2 linked regions of the Coturnix japonica genome follow. The main gene of each other region encodes a partner of the protein of the gene in region 2 in a complex. Links are inferred from orthologs where the notes say so. Each region holds a gene or a part of one and is shown on either strand. Other genes may lie near its edges.

What was found. Proteins that work in one complex are often made in the same cells at the same time.
Region 1: LSM5 (region 2) and LSM6 share a complex: the UniProt entries of both Homo sapiens proteins name them as parts of the precatalytic spliceosome. The link is inferred for Coturnix japonica from reciprocal best matches to the Homo sapiens genes LSM5 and LSM6.

Annotation. Positions count from the first base shown.
Region 1 is NC_029519.1:27,572,007-27,577,652, reverse strand, and holds the start of LSM6 (U6 snRNA-associated Sm-like protein LSm6), read right to left. Parts: upstream 3,819-5,646; 5' UTR 3,630-3,818; coding exon 3,458-3,629; intron 1,223-3,457; coding exon 1,109-1,222; intron 1-1,108. UniProt on the Homo sapiens protein: Plays a role in pre-mRNA splicing as component of the U4/U6-U5 tri-snRNP complex that is involved in spliceosome assembly, and as component of the precatalytic spliceosome (spliceosome B complex).
Region 2 is NC_029517.1:78,883,080-78,889,038, reverse strand, and holds LSM5 (U6 snRNA-associated Sm-like protein LSm5), read right to left. Parts: upstream 3,332-5,959; 5' UTR 3,242-3,331; coding exon 3,196-3,241; intron 2,909-3,195; coding exon 2,813-2,908; intron 2,377-2,812; coding exon 2,349-2,376; intron 1,987-2,348; coding exon 1,914-1,986; intron 367-1,913; coding exon 334-366; 3' UTR 95-333; downstream 1-94. Other genes in the region: late secretory pathway protein AVL9 homolog, read left to right, coding at 4,045-4,137. UniProt on the Homo sapiens protein: Plays a role in pre-mRNA splicing as component of the U4/U6-U5 tri-snRNP complex that is involved in spliceosome assembly, and as component of the precatalytic spliceosome (spliceosome B complex).

The DNA of each region.
Region 1 (5,646 bases), on a different chromosome or scaffold from region 2:
GTAATTAATCCCGTTCAGCATGAGCAAAGTCAAGAACTTTCAAGTCCAGGCTCCAAGAAATGCTATCAGATTTATGTACTAACTTGACTCAGTATTAAATTCACAGTCAAATGGTACGCTCCAGGTGATGCAGACTGCACGGAGGGAGAATAAGCCTAGCTACCCTGCAGCATTAACAAGGAGAGCATGATAGAATCTTTTAAGCAGCAGAATTAAGGGTGTTGGACAGCCACGTTATGATCTTTCAACAAAAGATGGAAATCCCAAGCACTTCCTGCAATGCTAACAAGCACCTATGAACCAGCAGACATCTTTCACCTACTTGGCTGCTGCTGCCAGAACATCATGTAATGCGGTGCTTCCCATGCACTTTGTAGGAACACCTTTGCCTTGGAGTGGAACTGTGCAGGCTGTATTTTGAATGCCCAAGTGATGAAATCACATCACGCTCCTAAACAGGGAATGTCTTAAGTTCTTTAGCCTATACTTTATTTTCCTGCCTCTCATCCATTTGTTTTTAACTTTCCTAACAAATTCTTATTCCTAGAATTGATTGTCTGGCTGCAATGTAACCTTACTGTAACAAGCTAAACTCCTTATAAAAAAACAATAATTTGACCTCATTCAAGGACTGTTTCTTTCCTAAACAAAACAACACACATAACGTGGGGTTCAGATCTTGTTTCTTTCTGTTCCCTCTTTCCTAGTAACTTTGTCAGACTCTGCTTCATTTACCTTCTCTCCAAGTCTCCTCACATCTGACCTGTGAACCTTTTCCATGCTTAGATATTCTTCTCCCTAGCATGTCCCACTACTATAGCCTAACTAGCTGATAGCACAGCATCAGCCCATGGTTTAAAGCAAGTTTCTCTTGTGTTGGGGAAGGATGCTAATTGTCCTTAAAGTGTACTACAATCCACCTACTGCACCGGGATGTTCCAAGGCTCAATAATGAAGTGCAAGTAATTTTTCTTAACCTCTAGTAGAATCTTTAATAATAAACAGCCCCCTTTACTAATGAACAGAACTCATCCAGGTCTGAGGAAAAGCACAGGCACTGAAAAGAAGCGCTGTAAAAAGTACATACAGCACAAGAAGGAGGAGTTACCATTATTTCCTCGGATAAATGCATCCCCATACTTGTTCTTTAACTGTCCATTTACGTATTCTTCTGTCTGTTCCAGAGCTATATTCATATAGCCATCCAGGCAAGCCAGGACACCTAAAGAGAGTGATAGTTTAAAAGTGAATCAACTTTAGCTTATTTCTGAACTAAACAAAACGGCTTTGCATTTGAACAGTACAAGGAAAAAAATTGTATCTTCATAGCAAACTAAACTTCCAAATGTGGTCAGGTGAGTCAGTCAGCAGCCCAGAGAGCATTAAAGGAACTAAACTGAGAGTAGGGAACTCCAGGTCCTGTACATGACTGGGTGGGGAGAACTCACTGAGACGTGACTTTGAAAGAGAACATCTTCCATTCTGAAAGTTTAGTTGTTGCTTTTTACTTTTGTTTTATGCCCAACTCCTGAGAAGAACCTGTGACATAAAGTGTAACTGGGCAGCCTAAGAACAAGGCTACAAGCTGAGTTTTGACCAAAGCTCATCAAGGATATATGTGAGAAATAACCCTTCTAATACAGGACACCACGCACATTTTTCTGATTTATTTTCCAGAAACTGGAGCACAGGAAGTTCTGCACGGATGTGCACAAGAATTTGTTTACGGTGAGGGTGACAGAGCACTGGAACAGGCTGCCCACGGAGCTTGTGGAGTCTCCTTCTCTGGAGATATTCAAGACCCGCCTGGACGCCTACCTGTGTGACGTGGTGTAGGGAGCCTGCTTTGGCAGGGGGTTGGACTCGATGATCTCTACAGGTCCCTTCCAACCCCTACAATTCTGTGATTCTGTGATTTTCATTCTTATAGACAGAATAACATGGGCTGCCAGCGTGATTTCTGTGTAAATCAATTCTACATCTTCAACGGGGAAAGGGTTTTCATATGACACTGAAATCTTCAGCCAAATTTAAGTGATGTACAAACAGAACATTTACATAGTGAACTAAATGTGGGGATTAACGGATGTGAAGAACTGCTCAGAAAATGCAATACGTACACAATGCAATTTGCTAATTGCATACATAAAACAACTTCTAACAAGCTGCTCATCTCCATCTTGTTTGTGTGTGTTTCCTGACTTCCTCCTTGCACACAGACACCACTATTAAAAATACAACTACCAAAATGGACAAGAATCTAATTTACCTGCTATTAAAACTGAAGACATGCAGTACATTGGCTGTATTTGAGGAGGGGGAGAACTCCAGTCTGAGAATCTTCCTCCAGGGTATGTTCTCATTTTCCAGAAGCGTTACTGTAATATCCTCCATTAAATAATTAGGAATTCAAGTTTTCTTGCCAACTTGTAATGGCTTGAGGATTGGTATTTTCCTGTATGTGTTTTTCATCCCTGTTTCCACATAAATGGGGAAATTCTGTCTGGCCACAAAGTGTTTTAAATACACCAAAACCTTCCAAGCCAAGTCAGTGACAACATTTTCACACCAGTAATCCTGAGTGCTTCAAGATGCCACAGAAAACAAATGTTTGCCCCAAGCTGAAGTTGGGCTGTGGGGTTTTTTTTTAAGCTATCACTCAACTGGCCAGGGTGCATCTTCATTTCTTTCATTGTTGTCTTTCTTTTCTTTGTATTTACTCCCAGAATACTAATAGCATCACATACTGTTGCTGCCCACCCTGGCTCATATTTTGCCTGTTTTTTATCAGTATGCAGCAATGTTTTTACATTCATATCCATCTGTACAACTGATTACACGTGCACTTTGCCAGGACTTCTTAGATGAGTACAGCGCTTGGCAGTGAACCAAGACATTTTACAGCTGCACACCAACGTGAGAACCAGGCAGCTGCTGTGCTCACAGTGGCTGGGAGGGTGGAGGTGCAAACATAAAATGAGAAGGGTAGCCTACAGGCAGAATCTGAAGAGATCTGCAACAAAAGCCTGAGATGCTGGGTTTCCTGATGTTTGGTTTATACAAGTGATCGAATTTCTGTAGAGAAATGAAGTGTGCATTTCTCAAATGTAAGCACCAGGAGGGAGTTAGGGAGAATGGAGGGAAACAAAGAAAGGAAAATAACTCCTGTATGACATTGGGCTGGTGTCCAAACACCAAGATTCCTTGTCAAAGGACAAACGAGCACTAAGATGAGCCAACTGAATTAAACCTACCTGAAGTAGCGATGTCTGGCATGATCATAACGTTTAAATCATCCCAGAATAAAACACCTGTCTCCTCATGGGAGAGGCATGATAAGAGCATCCAAACTTAACGAAGACTGAGATAAAGAAATAATTGTAGAGGCTGAGCTATTGGAGAGGCTCAGCCTAAAGGGAGCAGGACATCTCACTGCACAGACAAGGTGGAATCTTACCTCGATAATCGACTCCAGAATTTAACTTTACAACAACAGGCCTTCCAATGATCTGCTTTAGGAAGTCACTGGGAGTTTGCTTCCGTAGGCTCATCTTGATTTGTGTCGGTACGCTGGGAATAGATGTGAAAGCCGATATATGGATAAGCAGCACATCCCACCCTGCAGGCATTGAAGGCCAGGCTGGATGGGGATGCGAACAACCCGGTTTAGAGGGAGGCGTCCCTGCCTACAGCAGGGGGCTGGAAGTGGATGGGCTTAAAGGTCCCTCCGCACCGCTCCCCGCACCGAGGCACAGCCCGGCCCGCACCCCGCCGCCCGGTGCCCCATTGCGGCCGGGCCGAGACACAACGCCGCTCACACTCACCCGCTGCTACGCGCGCCCGGCCCCGCGTTCGCGGCCAATCAGCGGCGGGCGGTACGGCGCGGCGGCAGGGACACGGCGGGACGGGCGCGCTCGCTAAAGCGGGGCGGGTTGTGGCTGCACTGAGTAGCGCCGCCTCTATCGCTGCAGGGAGGAGCTGGATGGGATCACCTGCTGCCAAAGGACGGGGAGCAGCTTTCTGCTTCTGCACCCAGCTGTGGCCTGACCTCTGCAAAACCTCATCTGTGTCCGTTTTAAACTTATCTTTATAGTTTCTGTCTATTTTTATCGTTTCTGTCTATGGATACTTGGTTCATTGATGCCAGTCAACAAAATCCTTCTAATTTCCTTTTTAGTCCTAAATTTACAAACATATGTATTCCGAAAGACTGAAATAGAGATGGACAACGTTGTATCCTTAGCTCGCCACTTCTATGGCTTGAGGCTGAGCCATGAACCCACACCTTAGCAAATTTGTCCTGGTTTTCTGTATAAGCCTTGAAACAGTCTTCCATGCTGTACTGAGTAAATGAACCTCTGTGCAATAGGACACATTGCTGAGCATGTTGGTGTAGTGGGTTTTGCATTGGGAAAGAAAATTTCTCTCTTGCTTATTCACAAAGATTATATAATGTAATCACAACTGTAAATACACAACCTAAAGAATGTGTTGTTTCCTGAGTCACACAATCCCAGTGCTCAGGTAGGTGGTTTTCAAAGGAATTATGTAATCCATTCTGTAGACTCCTCGCAGATTTCAAAGCTTCGAGTGTGAAAAAATGAGACCCACTGTTTAATGGTTCTTCTTTTTGCTTCAGTCATCTAGATGAAAAAGGATTTGGGTCTAAAACTTTGCATGCGTTGCTATCAGTACATTCTTTAAAATATGGCATTGCTTTATCGTTCCACAAAGCAGAGAGCATTTTTCCAGCTGTATAAAACTCATTGAAATCAGTGACATTCTGCCCGTGTGTTTTAATCAAGATGAACTTGAAAGGTGAACATTGTAAGTGGTAGAAATTATTTATAATTTGGTAATAAAAGTTTATGTCTAACACTTCCAAACTTCATACATCTGCTATGTGCCAGCCTTGAGATATAGAACAATTGTGATTGCCTTTACATTTGGCCTCAGATGAAAGGTCATAAATTACAATGGGAGTTTTCAGTCCTTCGCAGCTCACAAAGTTTCCATTATAGCTTCTTCACCTCAAACATAAATGGTGACAAAGTTCTAACATGAAGAGTTGCTGTGGCCTTTACCAGCTGAACTTAATGATGGAAGCTGGGGGCTCGTCTACTATTGCTAAGTCTTGAATGTGAAGCACCTCAGAATGTTTGTTCAGAGAACCTCATTAAAATTTGCAGTTAACTTTAAAAAAACGAAATGGGATTTGACAGTGTATGAGAAATTGGTAATCACAGCCTGAACCTCTGATTAATCAGCTGAGGCAAGTGTCGGGTCAGCTGTGGGAGCACAGGTGAGAGTAATTTAGCTGTGCTCCTGGGAGGGGTGGAGCTCGACTCCACCTCCTCTAGACCTCATTTAAGGGCTGACCCCCACTGAGGCAGCATCTCTTGGAGATTGCTTTCTGGTGGAGATTGCCTCAGCTTTTCCCAGCTGAGGCATCGATATCGGTGAGTTTTCCTTTACAAATAACCTTTTGAATTATCTTTGCTACCATCTTCATATTATTCAACTTTACAGACAGTCTGTCTGTCTTTCTCTTCTCCTCCCAGCCCCCACTGAAGTCAGTGGAGGTTATGGTAATTACCTCTCTGTACTCAGAACCTTACAACAAAAATCTTTGAAATACACTGGCAA
Region 2 (5,959 bases):
AGCTGACAGTAACTGAAACATGGTTTTAAACTGGTTGATGGTATAGAAAAACAGCTTTTGCAAACTCATGCACTTACATAACCAAATACAACACTTAACAAAACAAAAGCCTTTATTCTGAGCAAATCAGTATGTCTTTACAAAAAAGTCATGATTTCAACTTACAAAGTCAGCATTAGCAATGCACCTTTCCTGAAAAGGAAATCTTTGCTTTTCATCAAATGTCAACTGCAAGTGTGTAAATAAACAAACAACAACAAAAATCCACCCAGACCCCCAAGGCTCTATTTAGATGACATATAACATGTCTTCATAGATGACATCTGTATCAATTTATACTTCAGGTCCTTCTCCTCCAGGAACCAGCTGCAAAAGAATAAGATAATTTTGTGTTAGCAACATGGATTTGAGTTATTCAAATTCATAAATGACACTTCTTCCTTTAAAACACTTTAGCAGATAGAGACTTCAAAGCAGAAGTTGATCTGGTGGCATATTGCTCTTAAATCAGGAGCTAGTGGTCCTTAAAGTACGCATATTTAGCAAAACCCAGCCATGCTTCTGACTGGAGATCCTGCGCCTTTTTTAAGGGCACATGTTACAACTGTGCCATAAAATTACTGAATCTGACTCAAAAGCACCCTGGGTCTTTCTCTTTTGGAAGTGTGCTGTTCATTATTAAGAAAATATAAATGATTTTTATCTTTTTTCCCCTTTACCTTTGTTTACCTTTTTAATATTTCCTTTTATATTTACTCTTAAGTCTTTTATTCACAGGAAAATACTTTGCTGGCTTGTTTCCTACTGTCTATAGAAAGGTTTGGTCTTACATGTATACATATAGCGGCTTTGCTTATCACTAAAAGTCAGGAAGAGCAAAAAAGCTTCTCAGCATAACAATGGTCTGGAGAAGAATCAGTTGAAGAAATGCTTCTTGAAATGCTCTTAAAAACAAACTGTAGAATTTCAAGATTCACCTTGGAATGAGTAACAAGGACAAAAAAATGTATGTTCTTTAGGAACTCCTTTGTTAAAATAATATAAATAATAATAATATAAAATAATTATTTTACCCACACAAGAAGTCAGAACATGCACAATGCATTAAAGATGCAGAACAATAACCGAAGCAAGAAAAGGTTTTGAAATTAAGTCAAAATAGCTTTTACTCAGAAGGGTGAGATAGCAATATGGGGATTATTCCCCATTCACACAGAACAGATAGACTCAAGTCAGCCTTCCACTTGTCTTGTTAACAAAATCATGAACTGCCTTATGCAGGAAGTCCAGATTTTGCACCCATCTGTGCAGGAAAGCAAATGATGTACTGTGAGTCTGCTTTTGTGGTAAAGTATCTACAAAGATGCAGAATTCACTTAGTGATGCTCAACTAACTACAGTATTGTTTCAGTACTGATCTATACACATCAGCGAGTAACAACCAGAAAGTGCTTCTGATTTGTTATAGTCCAACAAAACTCCACCTTATTATTTTTTTCCAGAGCATCCGGCATCACATGATAATGATTAATAATAGTCAAGTAACTTAACAAGCTTATAAGTATCTGAGCTGCTGCAAACACACCTATACATAATGGATGAACTGCAGATGTATCCCAACCCACAGACTTACACAGACACTCATGAGTCAAAAGCCACTTTGTCAACCAAACTCGTCCAAAGATTCCCTCACACACCTTATGAAAACCAAAAAAGCATATACCAAAACTATAGTCATGCCCATGCTCCTCTTTTCATGCATTTTAAACCATAAAATATATGAAATATAGCAATAAGATCACTTTCCCAGCATCATTCATAAACCATATGCCTTAGAAACTACTCAAGTAGTTGAATTCAATCAGATTTACAGGTAAAGAAACACAAGCAGACTATTTACAGTGATGACTTACCATTGTTATATTATTTCCATTTAGCAAAATCTGGTCTAGTTTTGTGATTCTTCTGCCTTCAGGTGTGATCTCACTGAAGCAATATTAGAAAAAAAAATATGAGCATGCAATCATCAACAATGAATAAAGTTCTGATTACAGCACCAATGCAAGTCCACATATTAAGATGACATTTACTGGAAATAACACTGCAACATCATCTTGATGCACTGACCCACTAGGCAGGGAAAGCTACCTGGCAACTAAACAGATTTGCTGTATTTTTTTGTTCAGCATATAAAGACACAGATTTGCCCTCTAAAACTTGGCATTTTTTTCAATAACAATTCAAAACTGCTCAGTTTATAAGTATCTGTGATAGCACAGACCTTATACCGCATTCTTTCTCAGGAAACCCAAGTCTGAATAGCAATGAGAGACAAAAATAATACTTACAATTCTGTAACATCTTCTAACACCATATCTGAAAGCTCAGTTTCAAGGAAAATAAGGCCCAGATTTCTTTTCATAGAACTTGAAGGGACTGTAAAGCCCACCCAGTTCCAAATACAGAGCAACCCCTGCTGCTGGTAGGCTGCACCCACTAGATCAGATTGCCATGGGGCCCATTCAGCCTGGCCTTGTACACCTCCAGCAACAGAAGCATTTGATCATCTTCACAGCCCACCTCTGCAGCTGCTCCAACAGCTCTGCATCCTTCCTGTGCTGGGGGCCTCACAAGGGCAGTATAGAGATGGGCAATTTATTTTACACCAAACTGTGATTTTAGCGATAAAAAAACAAACAAAAACCACTAACGAGCAAAAAACCGATACCAAACAGCTTAATGTTCTTAACAATAAACGAAATGATTTTCCCCATGAAGCTAATGGCCACAGATAACACCCACCAAAGGATACTGACAAAGTCATCAAATCCTAGCAGAGTTCCAACAATTTCCTTATCGCTCTTCATCACGATATGAATGCGAGAACCTATACATTTGTCCACAAGCTCTGTAGATGTTAAAAACAACAAAAGTGCATTAGTGTATTTGCAGGAAATCAATCAGCCCAGAGGTACCCTCCATCATCTCCGACCGACTGGAAACAACAGCAACGCTACACCCGGAGCACGTATTCCCTCAACACGAAGAGGGGTGAATTAATTTTGTTACATCCCGATTTAGTTTCTCGCTCATAGATCCCGATTTAGCCCCTGTTGCAGCCTCTCCCACCCCGGTCACAGCCTCCCTCCCTCCCCGCCCGAGCCCACGCGAGAACCCGCCGGCAGCGCTGCCCACCGAGCGGCAGGAGCTGCGAGGGGTTGGTGCTCGCGTTGGCCGCCATATTGCCGCCAGAGCTGGCCAATGGCTGCCGCCTCCTGAGGAAGTAGAGGCTGTGGCGGGCGGGACGCAGCCCTGAGTAGCGGCAGGCAGAGCGCTCGTTCTACCGCCGTGTTCTCCTTTGGGCTCCGACCGCAATGGGAATTCAGTTCCGCTCCTGTTTATACACACTGCCATGTCAGGTGGCAGCCTGTCTGACTGCCCTTCTGCTGCCATCGGTCACAAGGCAACAAAGTATAATGGAATATAACGGCAGGAAGGTGTAGCCCCTACTGCCATACCAACATCCACCTCTGATGTCATGGGCCAGCATAATAAAACAGGAGGCGTTAGTTTGAGAGCAGCTCTGGTATATATGGCTGAGTTTTTATTGGTATCTATTAGATATACACTGAGAAAGAAAATTCCAGCAGGATTCTTTTATTTCTAAGAGCTTCTGCTTGATTGCAGCTCTACCCTTCCTTCTTATCATTCGCTTGCTAGTTCTGGATTGTTCCTTATAGCCTATCTTTTGCCCCCTAATGTATCTAATTTTAATAAAACCAAGCACTTTCCTATATCAGTTTCATCGCACGCTCCCGCTCGGCGCCCACCGCACAGAGCACAGAGTGGAGGGCGGGGCGGGCCGGGACACAGCGCGGCTGGGGGCAGGGCGAAGGGGAAGAGGGCGGCCCCGCTCCGCCTCCCCTCGCCGGGCTCTGCGGAAGCGCAGTCGGTTGGGGTCCGTCCCTTCGGCCTTCGGCACCAGGAGGCGGAGCGACAGCCCGGCCTGGGCGGTATCCTCCGGAGCGGCCATCGCCGGGCTCCATGGAGAAGCGGGGCGCGCCGCCGGCCGCCCCTCCGCGGGGCCCGGTGTTGCATATCGTGGTAGTGGGCTTCCACCATAAGAAGGGCTGTCAGGTGAGGGGTGTGAGCGCTGGGCCCCGGGAGCGTGCCTCTGGTTCTGGGCTGGGCGCTGCCTGCAGCGGGCTGGGGGCCGGTTACGAGCCCCTTGCTGCGATCCCCCGCCGGTGCGGGCTGTGGGGGGCCCGGGGTCGGGCTGGAGCGGTTCCGCGGGGCTGTCTGGAGGGGACGGGGCCACCCAACAGCTGTGCGTTACCGGCGCTCAGTGTGTCTTCAAGGCCCGCTGTGTTTCGTAGGTATTCTGTGCTCTCGTTGCGTTTCCTCCTTTGCTCTCTAACTAAATCTTGGCGAGGCTGTTGCAGGAATGATTTATTTATTTATTTATTTGAGACTGAGTATATAAAATGCCATTTGATCCAATCAAACGACTGGTATTCAAACTCTTTTCTTCAAGTCTTACATCAAGAATTACATCTGGCATTTAAACTCCTGCAGTCATTCCACGTTCTGTGACTGGGCAGTATCTAGAAACCTGAGGAAACTGTGTTTTCTACTTTGGAAGGCCGTGCTGTGGTCAGGAAAGCAAATAGTTTTCAGATGATGAATAACTTCTCATCACATGATTGCTGGATTGTTTTTAAACGTTGTGAAGCTCCAGGGTAATTTTGAATGCTTGGTCTTTCCATCCCTAAAGTGAAAGAAGGAATCAGATTTTGTTCCCCAGCTCGTCTCCAAACATCGCTGTTTTATTATCACAGTAGATAGCTTTAATGTTGGGCTCAACCTGCAGTGAGTCTGCAGGACTAGCAGGAATTTGTCCTGATGTGAACATCACATTTGTATAAGGTACCAAAGAGTTAATATTTATTAGTACTTCAGGAAATTAAACAAGCTCAGGATGTTAATGTGTAAAACAAATTGCCATACAACAGAGGCTAAAGCTTTGGAGTGGTCATTCATCATATGTGTTCTTAAATCCATTTTTCCAAGAGATCTGCATGATTTTATAATGCATCCTTCTCAAGGCATCCTGCATCTGTTTGTGGGATCAGTTTCTTGATGTAATTAGATCACCTTGGGTTGCAAGGCTTGCAATATTTAGCAGGTTGCTTTCTTGCCAAATACTGCTAAGAGATGAATGACCATTGAGTGTCCTAGGAAGAACACCTATAAAGGTGCCCTCGCTCTTGTTGGCCACTTAGAAAAAAACATAGGTTGGAGACAAAAGTGGTTGTGGCTTTCATTATATCTGAGTTTATACTAGTTGTAATATGATGCAGGTTGGATGCAATAGCAAGCCAAAAAAAAAACTCCTGGAGCCCTGAGAACAAGACTAGTTAATGTGTTCTGCCTCTGCCTAAACAGATTTGATACTGAAATACATCGAATGTATCCTAAAAGAACTGGAGACAGGGAGATGCACAGCCACAGCCTAATGAGCTTCATCAGTAGCACGCAAAGCTCAAGAGAATTTGTGAAGGAAAGAATTTAATTAACAATATGAAAATGAGTGAGACCTATGTGGATTCGCTAAAGATAGCTCATGCCTGACTGACCTGCATCTTTTATACGAGCTAATGATTGATTTAATTTCTCTGTAAAAGAGATGTAGTAGCTCTAATCTGCCTTGAATTTCATAATGTATCTCACAGTGCAACAAAATAATTTATTTATTTATTTATTTATTTATTTTGAAGTTGGAAATGCTGGAGAATTAATACAAGAGCTAGAAATTGGGTAAGGATCAGTATGAGGAGCATAAAGCAGCAACAGAAGGGGAACTGCTGATCTGAGAGATGCTTGCAAGTGGTGTTTCTCAAGACTGACTTGGGGTGTTTTGAATGGCTATGGCAGCACGTACATAGTCAAATCTAGCACT